Notamacropus eugenii: one gene and its partner. The protein of the gene in region 2 purifies or fractionates together with the protein of the main gene of each other region. This does not show direct contact. Links are inferred from orthologs where the notes say so. Each region holds a gene or a part of one and is shown on either strand. Other genes may lie near its edges.

Region 1 (9,532 bases), about 310 Mb from region 2:
TTTTCTGCCTCCATGCATTTGCTCGCCATTCCTCTTACCTGGCTGGCCAGCTTGCGCCATCTGTACTCCACTAAGCAGAGTGCTCTGCTGCTGACTGGATGTGCCTGTCATCTGAACTTGCTGCATGCCAGAAGCTCCAGTCAGGAGGGTTCCTGCCCCAGACTGGCCTGCTTGGCCAGGGCCACTGGTGCCAGGAGATCTCCAGTTGGACAGACCCTTACCAAATGCAACTGCAGCCACCAGGGCATTGGTGTCTGTGGGGTTGAAGGTCTGTTTATTCTGACGGAGACCTAGAAAGGAAAGCCAGGGCACTGAGAAGTGGGCAGGACGAGAAGAGCCAGGCCCAAGAACCTGAGGGGGCTTCTGACTGCCCCAATACCCTAAGACACCTCACAGCTCAGGCATGGGAGCAGCAGCCCCTGTGGTTGCCTCAGGCCAGCACACGTGGGCTCCCATGAGGGTCGTTCCATAACAATTGTCCCCTGTGGCTTCACCATCAATCCCAGGTCACTCTCCACATTCGCTTTCCTCCATCTTTCCTTTCCTCTCGAGACTTTGCCATCATGCCCCCACTGTAGCCTCTATACCTCCATACCTCCATTTTCCATGTCTATGCCCCTTTCCCTCCTTCCCAATCTTCCCTCCCCCATGATGACCAGTTCCCACCTTGCCAAACACACTCACCTCCACTTTCTGACTCTCGTTCCTCTTTGCTGATTTTTTCCAGTAGGTTTGAGCACATTTTATTCAAGGTCTGTATTTGCTTCTATAAAACATGCAGAAACACTGAGGTGAGCAGGATCAGGACTGAGGGCTGCCTGAAGAGCAGACTGCACCCATGCCTCCCAAGCCCCCCATCCCTGGGGCAGAGCACTGGCTTCTGTTACCTGGGCAGCATCAGTGCCGATTCGAGCAGCGTCTGTGGTCAGTTGCTTCTCCTGTTCCTCCACCTCTGGGTCTGGTTTGGTTCTCAGGTGGTCAGGGACCACCTCATGACTGAAGACAGGAACCCGGCCCTCTGTCTGGCGCTGTCATAAGCACAAAGGCTTTGCTATGTTAACTACATCCTCTACTTGGGAATGGGATAAGAGAGGGGATGGGGTTGTGATAGAAGGCAGGGCAGATTAGGGGAAGGGATAGTCAGAGTGCCCACCATCTTGAGGTGAGGGGAGGGGAGAGGTGGGGAGAAAATCTGGAACTCATCTTGTGGAAAAGAATGTTGAAAAGTAAAAATAAATTAATAAAAAAAAAACTATACTCTCTACTCAAGAAAAAAGCACTTTGGTCCCTGGTCCATCCATACCCCAGGCTATCTTTTAACAAGCGCCCCAAAGCAAATGCCACCAGCTAAGTGGAGAAAGGGGCAAAGAGCCCCAGTGGCTGGGGTGAGGGGTGGTCTGGATAGAGACTAGAGGGAATGTGTTGCTCTCGCTGTGCTCTCCCAGGCCCTGCTTCTCACCGTGAGCTCCTCATCTCGGTCCGGGGACAGCACCAGAGGAATGATAACCTGGTTCCGGAGCAATGGGGTCTTCTCATGTTTGAGGACCTTGTTGAGAGTGTTCAGCTGTCCAGAGAGCAGAGCAAAGCTGTCCAGGACTGAAGGCCTAGTTGGAGTGGAAGAGATGGGAATAGGGCCTGGCTAAAAATGTGGGCTCTGACCCATGGGACCCCCTCGGGGAAGTAACAGCTGCCTGAGAGCCCTTCAGAGAAAGACAGAGATGCAGCCTTAGGATTCAGAGATGTGATGACCCTTTACACCCAGGCCCACCTAGAACAGATGCACAATCTGGGACTGAGACTGACATGGCTGCAGGAAAAGAAAAGGCTCTTAAAGCTAGCAAGGCCTGGATAGCCTATACTAAGCCTCCTCAGGAGAGAAGTTCTATAGGTCAAGACCCTGATTAGACCATGCTGTCTCCAAAAGACCTCTTTTAACGTATGAACTAGCCTCTACTTGCCAACGGAAACATAGTGGGCCTTCCCATGGACTGGCCTTCCTATGGCACCCAATGTATGGAAAACTGGAAGAGGAGAATGCAGACAGCAAAGTAAAATGACGCATCTTTCCTGCTGCCTCAGTGATGCCTTTGCCCTTCACTCATACCAGTGGACTGCCAGCATCTGGGGACAGAGGGGAGTCTGTGCTGACTGGGTTCCCCAGCTCTTTGTCTAAGGAGCTTCATCTTCTCTGGACACAAGTGCCTTAACCCTTCTCCAGCCCTGACTTGCACGAGGGGCTCAAGTCCTCCGGGGGGGCCCAGAAGCTGGGAAATTAAACTGTGACTGAGGAGGCTCAGGAGCAGCATGCCTGCCTCCTGCTGAGCTCTAAGGCCGTTCCGCCCACCTGCCCTTACCAGGTAAGCCGGTCATACTCGTTCTCCAACTTGCAAATAAAACTTCCCAAGGAGCTCTTCAGATCTGCCACTTGATTCAGCAGTGCGTCCACTGATGCCTCCAGCTGCTTCTCTTCCCTCTGCATGGACAGAGACCAGCCAGTCAGCCTAAGGTGGTCAGGGCCCAGTGTGCCAGACACAGATCTCGACTTAGAGTCCATGGGGCACCTGGTGTCTGATGAGAAGACTGAGAAGCCCCAGGGAGGGGTGAGCAGGAGGGGCTAGCTGGCAGGGACACAAGTCTCACCCTCACTGCACCAGGCTGCCTTTTCCTTCTGAGTCCTATTAGGGTCCTAATGGGCAAATCCCAGGACAGAGCCCAGAGCCCCAGGCCTGGTGAAGACTTGATGCAGAAAAGCCAGGAGGGGAGGGAAGGGTGTCTGCCCCTTCCCCAGGGTCTGCGTGAGTGCTGCTGACTGCCCAAGACATGCTGCCTCTATTGCACTGGTACCATGTGGCACAAGAGGATCCCCAGAGGGCCCCTGGGCACGAAGCGTGCTCCAGGCAGGAACAAGGCTATGGTGAGAGACTGTGTGGGCACTCCATCCTGAATCTCTGGTGACCACGGGGAGCACCTGCAGAGACAGGGCAGAGGTGGGCCATCCCATTCAGGGCAGGATGGAGGCGGTCACCCAGAGGCGGGTTAGGGGCCACCCTGGGGATTGGCATGCCACACGCTGCATCCTGCCCCCCACCTGCATTTCTCCCGCCCCTAGCTTATCAGCAGCACCTCATTTCTTCTAGGGCCTACCACACCCTGGCATCCCTGGGGTGTCTGCACCAGGCCCTGACCTTGGGGGCCCCTCCTGAGGCAGCCTGTCAGGCTAGCCTGGATGCTCCTGCTCAGTGACACAGGACCAGGACAGCCTGCCCCCACCCTGGTCCCTGGGTCCCTGTGGGATCCTGACCACTCCTTGATACCTGGAGGGCAGAGAATGAAAGGCTCCATCCCTCCCCCCGCCAGAGTTTGCTTTCTCTAAGTCTGCCCTTGGTAGGTCAGCCCTCGGCATGTGGGAGCTCCCCTCCCGGCCACACCCGAGCCCTGCCCCTCAGGACATCTCCAGCCCTCGGCACACGGATCCTCCTAAGCCAGGTGTGAGCCCTGACGACCAATCAGACCATTCCCTGGGCACGGTCCCTGACCGGGGCCCTCAAGGAGCTTGGGGGGGGGGGGAGGAGGGGGAGGGGTGACCCTTTTGCTCCTCTGTCCTCCCACGACAGCCTACACTGGCTGATGCCACGGTCCGGCCTCCCTTCACACCCTCCGGAGAGAGTGGCCCAGGGCACAGACGCTCCCCGGGCTGGATCTTAAAGCCCCTCCTAGCTAGGCTCCCACCTACTTCTCCAGGCTCATTGTGGATGATTTTACCCAGAGACACGTGGGTCCGGCTGGACCTCTTGCCTCTGAGCCTTTGTCTCGGCAGACCCTCCTTCCTCGAATGCCTTCCCGCTGCAGGTTTCAGTAAGCTCTTCTCCCTTCCACGTCCCCTCCCCCACCCCACGCCCCCTCCCCCTCCCCCCGCCCGGGGCAAAGGCGGGGTAGGCTCGCTGCATATATGGCAGACCCTGGCTCACTCAAGGGTGCCTTCCTAGGCCTCAGTGTCTGTACGTAAATTGAGGGCAGGGTAGAGAACGTCGCGGCCCCATCGGGCTACGGGTCCGCCCACACCCCAAGACACTCCCCGGTGTACGCGCTCCTACGCCCCGGGGGGCCCCCAGCTTCGCTGCAGCGCCGCGAGCTCTTGGGCCTGGCCTTCAAGGTCTCCTCCGCGGGATCTCGGACCCGAGGCCGCCTCGCTTCCCCCCGCTACCGTCAGTCCAGCGCTTACCTGCATCTTGTAGGCTGCAGGAACTTCCCATTCCGGGGTACCGCCCCCTAGCTTCCGCTTCCGGAAGCACCGTCGTCGAACCCCGCGACTTCTCCGGGAGCTTCCGACGCGACGGCCGAGCGCTTCCGGGTCGCGGCGGGTCAGAGGTCACCCGGGACCTGACAGCCATGGCGGCGGAGTCGGCCGAGGTAAGGCTGGGGCGGGCGGTCCCGGGAGCTCAGGGCGTGGGTGCGGGGCCAGGCCTGGGGGCAGAGCGGCCCCCCGCAACCCCCGGGGCGCCGGGTCTCTGAGTGCCGAGCTCCCCGCGCAGGTGGACGAGGCCGCGCACGTCTTCCTGCTGATGCGCAAGGGCCACCGCATCTCCCGCAACGTGCGCCTGGCCTGGTTCCTGAACCACCTCCGCCAGCCGGTGCGGGCCGCCTCGGCCGAGGAGCTGGTGAGTGGGGGCGGGGCGGGGCGGGCGGGGGGCGAACGGGGGGCGGGCAGCCCCCTGGCCCCCGCGGCCCCTGACCGCCCCGCCCCCTCCCCGCAGCTGCGCTCCGAGCCGGAGCTGGCCGTGCTCAGCGTCCTCCCGCCGGGCTGGCAGCCGGACGAGCCGCTGGGGCCCCCGGGCCGGGCGCTTCTGCTGGTGCCGTCCACGCGCGTCACCTTCCTGGCGTGGCGCTACCGCTTTGTCATCGAGCTGGACCTGAGCCCGTCCACGGGCATCGTGGTGAGGCCCCCCCCAGCCCTCGGCTGCGGGGGGTGGGGGGTCCTGCCCCTCCCCCCGGCCGCTGGGGGGCTCCCCTTCCCCCACCCCACTCCCCCTGCCCAGCACCCCCATTCTCTGACCTGCCCCCTCCCCCCAGGATGACTCCACCGGAGAGATTCTCTTTGACGAGGTATTCAGGGCCCTCTCCCGATGCGTGGAGGGGCTGCTGCGGCCCTTCCGAGTCCCGGGCTCCTCCATCACCTTCCAGCCAGAGATCTACGTGACCATCCAGGCCTACTCCTCCATCATCGGCCTGCAGTCCCACCAGGTAGGGAGGCTCCTGCGGCGGCGCGGCCGCGTCTGGATCGAGTCCTCCTTCCCCGCCCTGGGCGCGGGGGTCCTAGCGCCTCCCCTCCCAGCCCTGGGCGCGGGGGTCCTAGCGCCTCCCCTCCCCGCCTCTGGGCGCGGGGGTCTTAGTGCTTCTCCACGTTTTGTGCCCTTCCCCCCACGCCCAGGTGGCTGACAAGCTTGGAGTCAGGGCTCGGACTCTTAGGCAGGTGACGCTCACAACTCACTTCTGGGAAGAACGTGGTTAGCGACCACACTGACTGCACAGGGTGGTGGGGAGGATCAAATGTCTTTAAATACAGCATTCTAAATTCTGTTGTGACATCTTGCTTTCCGCCTAGCCTTGCATAGTTATGCCCCAGTGGGTATAGCTGGGGCCTGTACTCCAGATACTCCCCTGCCCACCCCACCCCCTTTACCTACACTTGTGCTATCCTTGCTGCTCTTACTATGTGGTGGGACCCCATACCCTGACTCATCCAGAATCAGGGGATCTGAGGCATCTGATTCAACTAGATTGGAACAAGATTTTCCTCAGCCTTCTCAGACAAGTTACCATCCAGTGAGGGGGTGAGCCCACCCTACTAAGCACTTATTACACACCTGCTGTATGCAGGGGGATCCAGCCAAGGGAGGCGGGAAAAGCTCCCTAAGAATTGACCTAAGTCTTGAAGACAGGCAGGCTTCCAAAAGGCTCAGGTCAGAAAGGAGAGCATTCTTAGGATGAGTCACAGCCTGCGCAAAGGCATGGAGGTGGACCATAGAAGATGAATGCTTGTGTATGGGTAACAGCAAGTAAGCCAAATGGGAAGTGATGTGAAATCAGTCTTGCAGCTGGTTTTGAAGGGCTTGCAGTGCCATACAGGTGTTTCACTTTTGTCATGAGGATCGTGGGGTCCCAGGTACAATAAGGGGAGGAACACAAAGGTGGCAGGGAAGGTTAAGAGTGATTGTACTGAGGAGGATCCCTTTGGCTTCAGTGACAGAGATGGATGGAAGAAGGAAAGACCAGGCATGGGGCCCAACAGGAGGCTGCTCTGTGTACTCTTTCCATGAAGGGTCAGTGAAGGGGACAGCTTTATGAGGGGAGATGAGGGAATGGACGTGGACAGTGTGAAGGGTGGATTGACATGGCTTGGTGACTGGCTGACTCCGAGGAGTCAGTGAAAATGGCTGAGGGCGTGAACCTGATCAACTGGGGAGAGGTTGGTGACCTGGGCAGGCTGGGCAAGTCAGAAAGTTGGGCCCGCAGCACAGATCTTGCTCAAGAGACCTGCAGGAGGTCCAGGCAGGGCTCTGGGACTGGCGTTCCAAAGAGATGTAGAAACGGTAGTGAAATCCAGGGGGCTGATGAGGCAAAGAGAAGAGGATACCTGGGGTCAAACCGTGCTTTCCAGGCGAAGGGGAGCCTGAGAAGATGTGGTCAAACAGGAGAGCCTTGAGAACAGGGCCAGGACCTGTGGAGGGAGAGGATGCAGCCAGTGTTTGGTGCAGCCAAGAACTGGGATTTGGCAGATCGACATGGACCTTAGAAAGCCCCCTCAGCTGGAGTATGGACAGAAGCCAAGGCTTAGAAGTTCTTGACTTCAAGCTCAATTCTGTTCCCCGCAAGTTTTGCTTCTTTCTTTGCTCTTGGGAGCCAACCAGTGCCAGTCTACAGCTCTCCTATGCCCACCTCCCTCTCTCTGCCCCCACTACTTCAGGCTCCTTCCCAAATGGAGGAGAACCCATCTTACATCCTCTCCGTGCCTTGCTCCTTGTCACGGCCTTCCTGAAATATGGTACCAGTCCTCAGTGATGGCTGTGGCCACCTCTCCTCGTGGGTGCTTCTGTACCAAACTGTTGACAGCCCACCAGGACCTCCAGATCTTTCTTAGCCATGCCATTCTGCCACTTTTTCCTATGCTTTGCTTCTGCAAATGTTTTTGAAAAGCTATGCGAGATTCTGGCCATGCCAGTGCTGCCTGCTTCCCATCGTTTGAGGGATTGCCGTCCTGTCTGTGGATGAGGGAGCAGTTCTCCCAAATTGGCCTTTACAGACAGACCCAGGAACCCATGTTGGGACAAACTCAGCACAAGAACCGCCCCGAGGTGCACCGCTGTCCTAGGAGGGCTGCAAGAAGATGTTGGATGGCCACTGGTTGGGAGCCATCCTCAGTCCCCATCCTCCAGTCTGCTGCAGCATGTGGAGATCTTGTGGGGAAGCACAGCCTTTCACACTTCCCTCTTGTTGTTCACGTTGTGTTTTTTCTCTTTTTCCTGGAATTTTGTTCTTGAGATTCTCATTCCTCATAGACTGGTTTTCTTTGTTGAATTTCATCTTTGAAAGGGGTTCACCTAAAATCTAGGGGTGTGTCTGACACATTTTTCTGGCACAAATCCGAATCACCATTCACCACAACCTTGTACCTTCTGTGTGAGGCTTGAGAACGTTTCCTTTTTCTGTCCCAGTTGGTCTGTGGTCCCCTCCTGTGGCCAGGTTGCTGCTCTCTGCCCGTGGTCTTTGCTGAAATAGTGTTCTCTGGCTCTGAGTTCTCCTCATGTGACTTTGCTTTCTTGAGATCTAGTGCTCAGTGGTGTGCTTACCTCCCTGCCTCTGCCCCTCCCTCAGCCAGGCTGCAGTCCTGGGCTTCATCTCAGGCCGCCTTTCCTCCTAGGTCACAGCTGCTACTCAGCAAAGGGCCTTCAGAGGCCGTGCCTACCAGGATTGTGGCTGGGTCATTGGTGTCTTCATTATGGCTGTTTTTATTGGTGGAAAGACAGAGACAGCCGTTTCCTCTCTCCACTTTCTTTTTTACTTTCAAGCCCTTTTGCCTAAATTTGTGAAAACCAGTCTTTGCAAGGTTCTCTCCACCTGGCAGGGACTGTGCTTGTGAATGAAATCCCATTGTCTTCTTCTCAGTCCCCATCATCTTAATCAGCTGCTCGCTTCCCCAACCTCTGATGTTCCTTCGAATCATTTGCCTCTGTGCAGCATTTATGAAGGACGTTTTGGGTGACAGGCACCGGGGCGACCAAGACTCCATCCCAGGCCTTGTCCTCTAGGAGCCTGCAGCATGAAGGGGAGGCGTGTCTGCAGAATCTAGACTGGGCTCTTTCCCTTCTCCTTTGTGTGTCTAAGGCTCGTTGTATTTGGGGCCACGCTCCGAATAAAAGAGAATTCATTTTCTACATATTTAAGTCTGTGATAAACTTGGCTTTTGTTGTGTCTGTGCCCAACCTAAATTCAAGGGAGGAGTTGAGAAGGGAGGAAGGGCACGCTTTTCAGCCCCAGGGAGCCTGAGCACACTCACTACTAGTAACTGGTCAGGATCAAGGGATTTGACTATAGGTGATCTCTGGAGACTTGCTGCCACCTTGTGAGGGAAGACACCTTGTATCTTTTTACTCATGGGGAAATTGAGGCTTACAGAGGTGAAGACACTTGTTTGTGGTCCCCTCGGGGCTGTCTGTTGCTAGTAAATGTCAGGAAGGGAATTCCAGGCCAGGTCTCTGAGCATTCCCTCTGCTCTACCCCCAACCCCTACAAGGGAGACTAAGAGGTATGAGTGTTTTTATGCCACCTATTGCGTGCCAAGCACTGTGTCTGCTGTTTTATAAATACCTCATTTGAGCCTCACAACCACCCTGGGAGGAGGCAGGGCCTGTTATGATCCCTATTTTACAGATGAGGAAACTAAGGAAAACAGATTGAATGACTTGCCCAGGGTCACAAGTCTTGGAAGTATCTGAGACCAGATTTGAACTCAGGTCTTCCTGACTCCAGGGCCACCATTCAGTCCCTTGCTGCTGCTTTGCTGCCTGGAGGCTGGTGTGACCTCATCTCGATTCTGTTTCAGTAAGGGCATGAGCAATTTAGAGAGGGGCTAGAGGAAGGCAACCAGTGCGGGGAATGGCCTGGCACTCCTCATCATAGAGGAGTGATAGCCAGAGCAGGGCGTGCTCAGTGACCATGTCCAGGGGACGTAGTAGCTCTTCTCAGTGGGAGGCTGTTAGGTGGAGGAAGCACCATCCTGAGCTCCTCCTGAGCCCCAGCCCTCCCTGCCAGGTGTTGGCTCAGGGCTATCTCTTGGAACCTTCTCGGCGAGAGACCTTCTTGCAGCAGGTGTACTCCCAGCTCTGTGTCTTTGAGAATAAGGTGGCTGCCACACTCCAGCAGCAGTATGAGCCCCGGAGCCAGGTAGGTGGGCAGGAACTGGCCACTTCTGTGCCCAGGGGCACAGTCCAGGCATGGGAGCCTAGACGGGGCTCATGTGGCCCCCAGGTACCAC
Region 2 (9,797 bases):
TAAAGGATTATCAGCTGAGTCAAATAGGGATACTACCTCATAAGCTTATGATTAAAACTTTCTAAACCTTAAATAACTACAATATTATTGTCTTTAGAATTCTTATGTATAAAGTTGACAAACTTCAGGAGAGCTGATATATCTTCAACTTATTTACAGATATTTTAAGAGTTCAGTTTTCCACATCTTTCCCCTCTTGAAAAGTACATAATTACAAACAACATTAAATGGGCTCAGGCATAAAGACATTCTTTAGCTCTCCCTAAGAATCTTGGGTTTTTACTAATACTACAAAAAAATGAGAGTAATTGTACATGGGTAGGTAGCATCTATATAAACTCTTCACCCAGTATAGAATATCCATGTACAGCAACCATTTTTACACAACTTTCCCCACCAATTTAAAATAAAAAAACAAGGCCTATCCATGCTGGCACAAAGTAACCCAAGGTGAAGCAGATTAAAGGTTATTTGTCAGGAGATGAAGACAGCTAGCTAGCATTTATGAGAACTTTACAATTTGCAAAGCTCTTTGCATGTCATTTCATTTAATCCTAACAATAACCCTGTGATGTAGTTGCTATTATTATATATACATTTCAAAAGAGGAAACTGAGGCTGACTGAGATTAAGTGCCTGGCCCAGGGTCATACAACCAGCAGATGACAGAGGTTGAATTTCACCTCAGCTCTTTCCCTGAATGTAAATACTAAATAGTAACTGTTTCTCTTTTACCCAGAAACCCTGAGGGTCTTCCCCTCTCAGTTTTATTTTGTTTTTGTTTTATTTATTGAAGGGGCCATGCCTGGAGTAACTAATCAAAGAGGCCTATTCAATGAATGGATATATCTCACTCAAAGTAAGAATCTGATAAGACCTTTGCCACAAGTGGCCAGGGTCCCACATTGCATTCTGGGCCATCTCCAGAGGTCCTGATGAATATCTGACCACTGCACCCAGATGGCTCAGGATGAGAAAGTGAGGTTAGTATCCTTGCACAGCCCTCCCTCATTCAAATCAAAGTCAACTGCAAGTCTTGTCAACATCTTGATGTCAAGGTCTTCTTTGAGAATGAAGGACAAATACAATCAGCCACCATGCTGCTCCCCCTACCTCAGTAATTTAAATCTAAAAGACACTCTCTGAGGATGTTTCACAATCCCAGTCAAATCCAAAAGCATTTATTAAGCTCCCATAATTTGTTAGGCACTGTGTTAAGCACTGGGGATACCAAGAAAAGTAAAAAAAGAGGTAGCTGCCCTCAATAAACTAATCTAGAAATGAAACAGTCTAATCAGAGAGGTAACATGCAAACAACTATGTACAAAATGACTGGACATAGGGAAGGCTCCAGAATTTAGGAGATCCAGGAAAGGAAGGTAGGGTTTTAGTAAAGATTTAATCACAATCTAAAATTTAAGAACAGAGCATAATAGCAGAATCCAAGGGGGGAGGGGAAGAGATGAGAAAGGAGAAAGGAAGCTAGGAGGCACATTGGATAGAGTACTAGTCCTGGCATCAGAAAACTGGAGTTCAAATCCAAGCTGAGACACTTATTAGCTGTGTGACCATGGGTAAGTCACTTTACCTGTTTGCCTCAGTTTCCTCATCTGTAAAATAGGGATAACAGCACCTTCCTCCTAGGATTATTATGAAGTTAAAATGGGATAGTAATTATAAAGCACCTGCCACACAGCAAGCCCTATATATTAGTTATTATTCTTATAACAGCACGTATCTCACAAGGTTGTTGTGAGGATCAAATTAATATCACTGTAAAGTGCTCAGTACAGTTACCTGGCACATGTGTTTGTCCTTCATTGACAAGGAAGACCGTGCCATCAGAGAAATAATGATATGACTTGCACTTGGACTTTGTTTTGAGTGAGGGAGTGCTGTGCAGGTCACCAGCCTCACTTCTCCTCCAGAGCCATCTGAATCCAGTGACCAGATATTCATCAGGATGACTGGAGATGACCCAGGATGAGACAGTCGGAGTTAAGTGACTTGCCCAAGGTCACACAGCTAGTGAGTGTCAAGTGTCTGAGGTGAGATTTGAACTCAGGTCCTCTTGACTCCTGCACTGGTGCTCTATCCACTGCACCACCTAGCTGCCCCACCTGGCACATAAATGTGTAATATAAATGTTATTGCTATTATTATTATTATCACCATAGCACCTAGCTCATAAGGTTGTTGTGAAGCTCAAACCAGATAATTATAAAGTACTTAAGCACAGTGCCTGGCAAGTAGCAAGCACTACATAAGTGTTGGCTGCTATAATTATTACTATTAGAAAAACATCTATCTCCCAGGGTTGTTATGAGGATCAATGTAATGATAATTAAAAAGAGATCAGCCCAAGTAACCTGGCACATAGTAAGCTATATAAGTGTTAGCCATTATCATTATTATTATCATTAACATCACCTACCTCCCAAGGTTGTCGTGAGGATCTAATGAGATGATAATTGTAAAGGGATTAGCACAGTTACTGGGCACACGATAAGCCTTAGATGAATGTTAGTTGTCGCTATTACCATTACTAAAACAGCACCTAATACCCAGGGCTGTTGTGAGAATCAAATGAGACAACTGTAAAGAGCTTATCCCGGTTACCTGGCACACAGCAAACTATATAAATGCTGGCTGTTATTATCAACAATTGTTGTTATTATCGCTATTACAACAGCACCTGATTCCCAGGATCAAACAGGATAGTTGTAAAGAGCTTGGCACATAATAAGCACCATAGAACTAACCAGCTGTTATTATTCAGGAGAGTAGCTTGTTTTGTTTTTGGGGGGAGCTCTTCTCCTCTCATTTAGATGACCCCAAGCAGCAGCCTGGTAACTCCCAGAATCGAGGACCTTCCCGTAGAAGACAGAGATAAAAATCCACACCCCACCCCGGGACGGACGCCTCTGCCCGAGGCTCCCGCAGCCGGGTTTGAACTGCCCCCACCCCCACCCCCGGGAGAGGGAGCCTTCGCCGATTGGAGGTCGAGGGACGCCCGTCACAGCCGTGCCCGAGGCTGCAGCAGCAGCCGAGCCGCCCGCGCCGCGCTCTGCCCGCCCCTCGCCGTCTCCCCAGGAGACCGGAGCCTGCAGACTCCTCCCTCCAGCCAGGTCCGCACGGGCGCCTCTCCGCCGGCATCGCGCACCGGGAGCGGGGAGGGGGAGACGCTCGCTGGACGCGGCGGCGGCGACTCCCGCGCGCGGGGCAGGAGCGGGACCGGAGGACAGAGAGACCGAGCGCTGGGAGCCCCGAGCCGCCGGCCACCACCCAAGGCACCCCGGGTGCGATTCCACACCCCCCGCCCCGGGCCCGGGCCCGAGCTGGGGACCCCCGGGGCCGGAGGCTGCTCCGCGCGAACGCCTTCACCCCCCTCTTCGTCCCCGCAGCAACCCCTCGCATCCTCAGGCGGCTCTTACCCATCTTTCCGCCTCGCCTTGTAGACGTGACCGTAGGTGCCGCGTCCCACTTTGCAGCCCTCGTACTCAAACAGATCCTCCACCCGCTCCCGCTCCGCCGCCAGCTTCGCCTTAAAGTCATAATCCATTGTCTGCTTCCCCCATAGAGGCGCGGGGGACGCGGGGGCCGCCGCCGCTCACTCACTCACTCCGCCGCCGCCGCTTCCTCCCGCGGCCCGCCGCTCCACTTCTCCCCTCACAGACGCCTGGCTCCCGGGCGCGCGCACTGGCGCACCGCCCCCCCTTCGGTTTCCCCAATTCGAGCGTCCCTCGCCTTCAGCACGGAGTACCGCCGCAATCGCGGCGGCCTCCTCCTCCTCCTCCTCCTCCTCCTTCTCCTCCGCGGCGGCTCCCGCAGGCACCGTCAGTCCCGCCTCCCTCCTTCATTTCCGTGTTTTGGAACCTGGTGGGCCGCACCGCGGCTTCCTCGAGCTCATTAACGATCAGACCGCCCGCCCCCTGAGAGCCGCTAGGGTTTCTGGGGGCTGTAGTCCAGGAGGTAGTGGAAACTTTGCAACCTGTCCTTCGGAGAAATACAAATCCCAGAATGCCCCGGGCGGAGGCTGCCCCTCCTCCCCAACACCCCCACCTCCGCACCCGGTGACCGCGCCTGCTCCCTGCCGCCACTCCCACTTTGGTGAGAGGGTTAGTGTTTCTAAATGTGGTGACAACCCGAAAAAGTTGTAGTTTGCTTTCCCTAAGCTAGCAGGAACAAGAGGCAGCTAGGCCATCGTGTCGACACTAACGAATCGGTTCGCTAATGGGAAGGGTGAAGAGCGTTTTAGCTAAACCTGTACTCCCTTCTGAGGTTTCAGAGCAGTCGAGAGTGCACGTCAGTTAAAGATGCTCTACGGCGGACTGTTGTTTATTTTCTAAGGCAATTGGCCCGCCTATTTCTCCTCTCAGTCCTACGTCTGACTGGCCGGGGCTAGGCTACTCGTCTCTAATTGGTCTGCTGGAGTCCCGCCTTCGGGCCTGATTCTTGCTTCTGGTTGGTGGATGCTTCTACACGGTCCTTCCCCATAGGCTATTCCCGTTCCATGGCAAAGCCAAAACCGCAGTTCAAATGTGGAGCCCTCAGCAGTTTCCTTGAGCTTTCAGCCGTGGGAGGTGAGGGTTAACGACGAGGGCCGGCCTGCCCTCCTTTCTTCTAACAGGTGCGGCTTCTAACGTGAAGCCTAAGCCGACCAAAGCGCCCGGCCTCGGGAAGACAATGACTGTACAACAGAGGATGCTGCCGTTTGCAACCACAGTGAAAGGTAGAATGAAAAGGTCAGGCATCGTCTAGGCCCAATGCCGAATTACCCCCAGGAATTGTGAAGAGGATTTCTTACACTTTAACGAATTATCGATGGACTTGTAGGTAGATTGGTGCATATATTTTGAAGAGCAGTCTCGCAGCAGGATTATAGTGACAAAACTGATTATATTTTTGAACCCACCAATTACATCGTCAGGGCTCCATGCCTAAAATATTTTAAAGGCTAAAAAAGGAACTATCTGTACAAAAATGTGTGGATTCTACCTCCCTGACACCTCTCATATACCGTCTTCTCTCCTTTGAGTCCATCACCACCCTGATGCAGAACTTCGGCACCTCACACCTGGACTATTTAGAATACCCTGATGGTCTCCGTGGGTCAAGTCCCTCCCCGCTCCAATTCACACAGCTATCAAAATGATCTTCCTAAGTTACAGGTTTGACCATATCACCTTCCCATTCAAATTCCTGTGGCTCCCTGTTACCTCAAGGTTGTTCAGTCTTGTCTTAGGCTTCATGACCCCAAGGGTTTTCTTGGCAGAGATACTGGAGTGGTTTGCCAGTTCATTTTACAGATGAAGAAACTGAGGCAAACAGTTAAGTGACTTGCCCAGAGCCACATAGCTAGTGTCTGAGACTGGATTTGAACTCAGGTTTTCCTGACTTCAGGCCTGCGTTCTACACATTGAGCTACCTACCTGACCATGGATAGTTTTGAGGGATTGCACATCCTATAGGAGGCCCTTCAATCTTCCAGGGCTTGAATCAGTCCACAATCTATCCATCAGCAAGCATTTATAAAGTGCTTCCTGTGTGCCAGATTCTTTGCTAAATGATGGGGCTACAAATACCAAAAAAATGAAAATCCCCACTCTCAAAGATCTTGCATTCTAATGGGACAGAAATTAAGTACTTCTCTATATGTAAGTAAAATATATACAAATATGCACAAAATAGTTTCTTAGGAAGAGTACTAAACGTTGGTGGGCTGGTGTGGGGATGGAGAATCATGAAGGGCTTCCTTTAGAAGATGATGCTTAAGCTTCGTCTTGAAGGAGGAGAGGAATTCTGTGAAGAGTGGTAAGGAGATAATACATTTCAGGCATGGGAGATAACACAGAGACAGAAGGTGAATGTGAAGAACAGAGAGAAGGCCAGTTTGGTCACATGCTCTTTGATACAAAGAAACTAACCTGGTTGCTATGTGTCACAAAAGAAAACAAAAAAACAACTCCATATCCAGCCTGCATTTTCACTGTTCTCCATGACTAGAATTCTCCTGGCTTACGTAGCTTCCAGGTCTCAACTAAAATCCAGCCTTCTTCAAGAAGCCTTCCCTCTACTGATTATCTCCAATTGCTCCCATATACATCTCATTTGTCCTCAGTCATTTTCATGTTGTCCCCACTACCACCACCATTAGACTGAGCTCCTTAAGAGCCGGACCTATATTTGTTTTTTATTTTGTTGGGGGGTTTTTTGCCTTTTTTTGTATCCCTATACTTAGCACAGTACTTGGCACTTTGGTAGTAATAGGTATATAATAAATGCTTGCTGAGTTGAATAATTATACACATAGAAGCTGATGAACTAACCAATAGACAATAATATCCTCAAAAAAGAGCATCTGGAATACCTTTCTGTCTATATATAGGGAATTCCTCTTACACTTGTATTCTATTGTGCTACACAACTACCATGCCTATGGCAAACACCTTTGGCAAGCATGTATCTGCTTGTTTTTCTGCCATATTTGCTGTTATTGAATGTTATTATATTGAGTAAATTTATTTCTAGCTACATCTTTTAAGTATCTTGTGTAATTTTAATGTATGCTTGGGAGATAATTTGCTGGATGAATGAACGAATGAATGGATGAATGAATTAAAAAAGCAATTAAATACCTACTCTGTATCAGACCTGTGCCAAGTGCTGAAGATACAGATAAGAGAGACAGGCCCCACCTTCAAGAAGCTTACCTTCTGATAGGGGTATACTGTACATATAGGAAAGTGAGGGAAAAGGAAGGAAGTTTTTATTTGCAGGCCAAAGGGATTGGAGTAAGGTCACAGGGATGTAGACTGTCACACCTTTTCCAGAAGCTAAGGTAGCTTTGACTTGATTCCTGTTTCAAGACCAGGAGTTGGAAAGAAATGAAGAGTGGTGTGCCCATTGTTGTTCTTTGTCCTTCATTTTCAAAGAGGACAATGTCATCACAGGTGATATCTTGACTTGCATATCAATTGGATTTAAGTGAGGCAGAGTTGCTCACAGTCAGCAGCCTCACTCTCTTCCCAGAGTTATCAAAGTTCCTGTGTGTGTTCGTCCTTCTTTACCAAAGAAGACCATGCCATCAGAGAAATAATGACATGACTTGCTCTTGACTTTGTTTTGAGTGAGGGAGGGCTGTGCAGGTCACCAGCCTCACTTCTCCTCCAGAGCCATCTGAATCCAGTGACCTGATATTCATCAGGATGACTGGAGATGACCCAGGATGAGGCAGTTGGGGTTAAGTGACTTGCCCAAGGTCACACAGCTAGTGAGTGTCAAGTGTCTGAGGTGAGATGATGAGATCAAAGTCAGGACCACTAACAATGGCCTGGAGTACAGTGGATGACCCTGGCATCTTCGATGTCTGACCAAGCTCTAAGCACTCCAAAGTACCTGCTTCAGAACAAATTGTTCCATTCCAGAGGAGGAAGAGAGAGGAGTCTTCACATTCCCTTACCCCACGACAGGTTTGAGGCCTGTTGGTTAACCTCTATCTGGTTTAGCCTATTTACTGAGACAGTTTATCAGATGTGGTCACTGGGCATGCTACAGCTTCTTGGAACCACAGGTGAGAGTCGGGTGAAATGGCAAGTGGATGGCCTGGCAAGCCTTCACATCAAAGGTGATAGTTATCCTAGTTATCCTAGAACACCCCATCCATTCCAATATGTCCGTAGTAGCAGAATAAATGGCAAGATTCTTATACTGAATAGGCCCTCTTTTTCTGGTAGATGACTGGATAAAATGTCATGCAGAATCTGGAGCCAGTTATGTACAATGGACTAGCTAAATTTTTCACATAATCACACTGAGGATAATGCAGTTGCAGGATGGAGTTCCAAAGCTGAGTAAATTTAAGTTGGGAGTGGAAATAAGGGACAAATTGGAAGGATCACTGTTCCTGATGAGGAGAAAAAAGGCAGGGGAAATATCTTTAGGAGAATCTTTATTTTGTATTTTGCTCTACTTCATAAAATAGGATCATCATAGGATCATAGACTGTCCTTTTTTCTTATAAACAAGAAAAATGAGCACAGTAGGATCTTCTAGTCTCAATACCTTTCATTCAATTGTGTGAATATATAAAACTGTGGCCATTGAATATCATTTGTTAGAGACCTCTTGTTCTATTCTCATACCTTCAATAAGTATGTCTATTACTTTCACAGAGATTTTGTGGAAATGGGGAAGTAGGAATATGAATTTAGACTTATGGATATTTTTCATTGCCTTTTTCAGTAGTAATGACATGTAAAAACAAACACCCCAACATACATAGGAGGAGCTGCTATCACAGGTTCTTAAATCTGCATTTCTGAAAGGAAAGTAACTTTCCTTTTAGAACTAAAAGAGATCAATAATCACTTTAATCAAACACATGTATCATTCACTTAGTTCAGGGAGAAAATTCCACACACTGAACTTCAGAGGAAATACAGAGAAATCAAAATCAACAGAAAGGGCTTCTAGCTGCCTGACATAAGCAATATATACCTCATAGATCAACAGACAGATCTAACTGTCTGACCATTACATACATACATAGTTACCAGAGAGAGAAGCTATATTTCCAAGGCAATATTCACTGGTGGTGACTATGAATATGCCAGCATATATATAACAGACTCTCCATATAGATGGTAGAAGAAAAACATTTATTTAGACACCAGAAAGCCAAATCCCCAAACCAGAAAGCAAAATCTGTTATGGTGACCAAGAAGTTAATAAATGTGATCACTGCAAAGGGCAAAACCATTTCCAAGACTACCACTCCCTCCCCACTCACCTCACCCACCCACTGCCTCCCCCCCACTTTCCCCCACCTCTACCACAGCCTTCTCACAAGCAAGACTGGAGAGCCTGAGTCTCCTGTACCTGCCTGCCTGAATCCTCTCTCCTCTGAGTCCAATCATACTCACTCACTTTCTCCAGTTCTGCTTCACCCTTCCTGTTCCGCCTATTCAGCAAGCTCCTCCCACCACAGGTGACTTAGGCTTCCAGGTGATTTAAGCAGATCATATGGGCCTATTAATGAATGACAAAGAGCTTTCCATTTAAATTGCTATTACATCTGGATTTTCAAAAGGGGGGGGCTCCTTAGCAGCTGCCCAGAGTATCATGTGGCCAAATAAACACTCCCAAATAGTAAGCCCCAACATAAAACCTCACCTCACAGTACTTATACATTTTCAGAGCCAGAGGGCATCACAACCCTGAAGAACCAATGCCTCATTAACAAAAGGTGTGGGCCTTCCTACAAATCTTCCCTGATCAAACTCTCCTTAACTGGCAGGCCCATTAATGGGTGGAAAAGATCTTCTTTAATCACATTAAAATAATTAACTGCACAAATATACATAATGTTTCTAGTTAAAGACTCTTGATTAATTCAATCAAAGGCAAGATTCAGGCAGAGACACTTGATTATACTAAAACAAAAACAGCAAAATATCCTACTTTGCTTGCCATTACATTCCATTCTTCCAGGATCCTAGGCCTTACAATCTGAATGGCCATGGATCCTGGAACAAATAGAGGCATTATACTTTGTGATCTCAACTCCAGGTGATTTAAGCAGATCACATGGGCCTATTAATGGATGGGAAAGATCTTCCCATTAAGAAGAAAAATTATATTAACAATAAGCAAAAATGCATTATCAATACATGACACCATAATTTTTTTGAGTCTTTGATAACCTTCCTTCTTTCAGATATCTTGAGGATTGTTCTCTTAATATTCTCAAAATTATGTTGTCTCCAGCATAGACTTCCTTTCTATATGCTTGATTT

Evidence for each region. The genes of interacting proteins can lie anywhere in the genome.
Region 1: the proteins of CDK19 (region 2) and MED8 purify together in Homo sapiens (affinity purification with mass spectrometry; 6 studies listed by BioGRID and IntAct, counting the BioPlex papers as one, with this or other methods). This does not show direct contact. The link is inferred for Notamacropus eugenii from reciprocal best matches to the Homo sapiens genes CDK19 and MED8.

Annotation. Positions count from the first base shown.
Region 1 is NC_092873.1:504,903,773-504,913,304, forward strand, and holds the start of MED8 (mediator of RNA polymerase II transcription subunit 8), read right to left. Parts: upstream 4,236-9,532; 5' UTR 4,229-4,235; coding exon 4,223-4,228; intron 3,856-4,222; coding exon of another isoform or gene 3,833-3,855; exon of another isoform or gene 3,575-3,832; intron 3,487-3,574; exon of another isoform or gene 2,474-3,486; coding exon 2,355-2,473; intron 1,605-2,354; coding exon 1,460-1,604; intron 1,029-1,459; coding exon 888-1,028; intron 767-887; coding exon 685-766; intron 291-684; coding exon 39-290; intron 1-38. Other genes in the region: KICSTOR complex protein SZT2, read left to right, coding at 3,833-3,855, 4,236-4,410, 4,533-4,658, 4,755-4,934, 5,071-5,241, 9,310-9,441. UniProt on the Homo sapiens protein: Component of the Mediator complex, a coactivator involved in the regulated transcription of nearly all RNA polymerase II-dependent genes.
Region 2 is NC_092873.1:190,842,674-190,852,470, forward strand, and holds the start of CDK19 (cyclin-dependent kinase 19), read right to left. Parts: upstream 4,028-9,797; 5' UTR 3,563-4,027; coding exon 3,435-3,562; intron 1-3,434.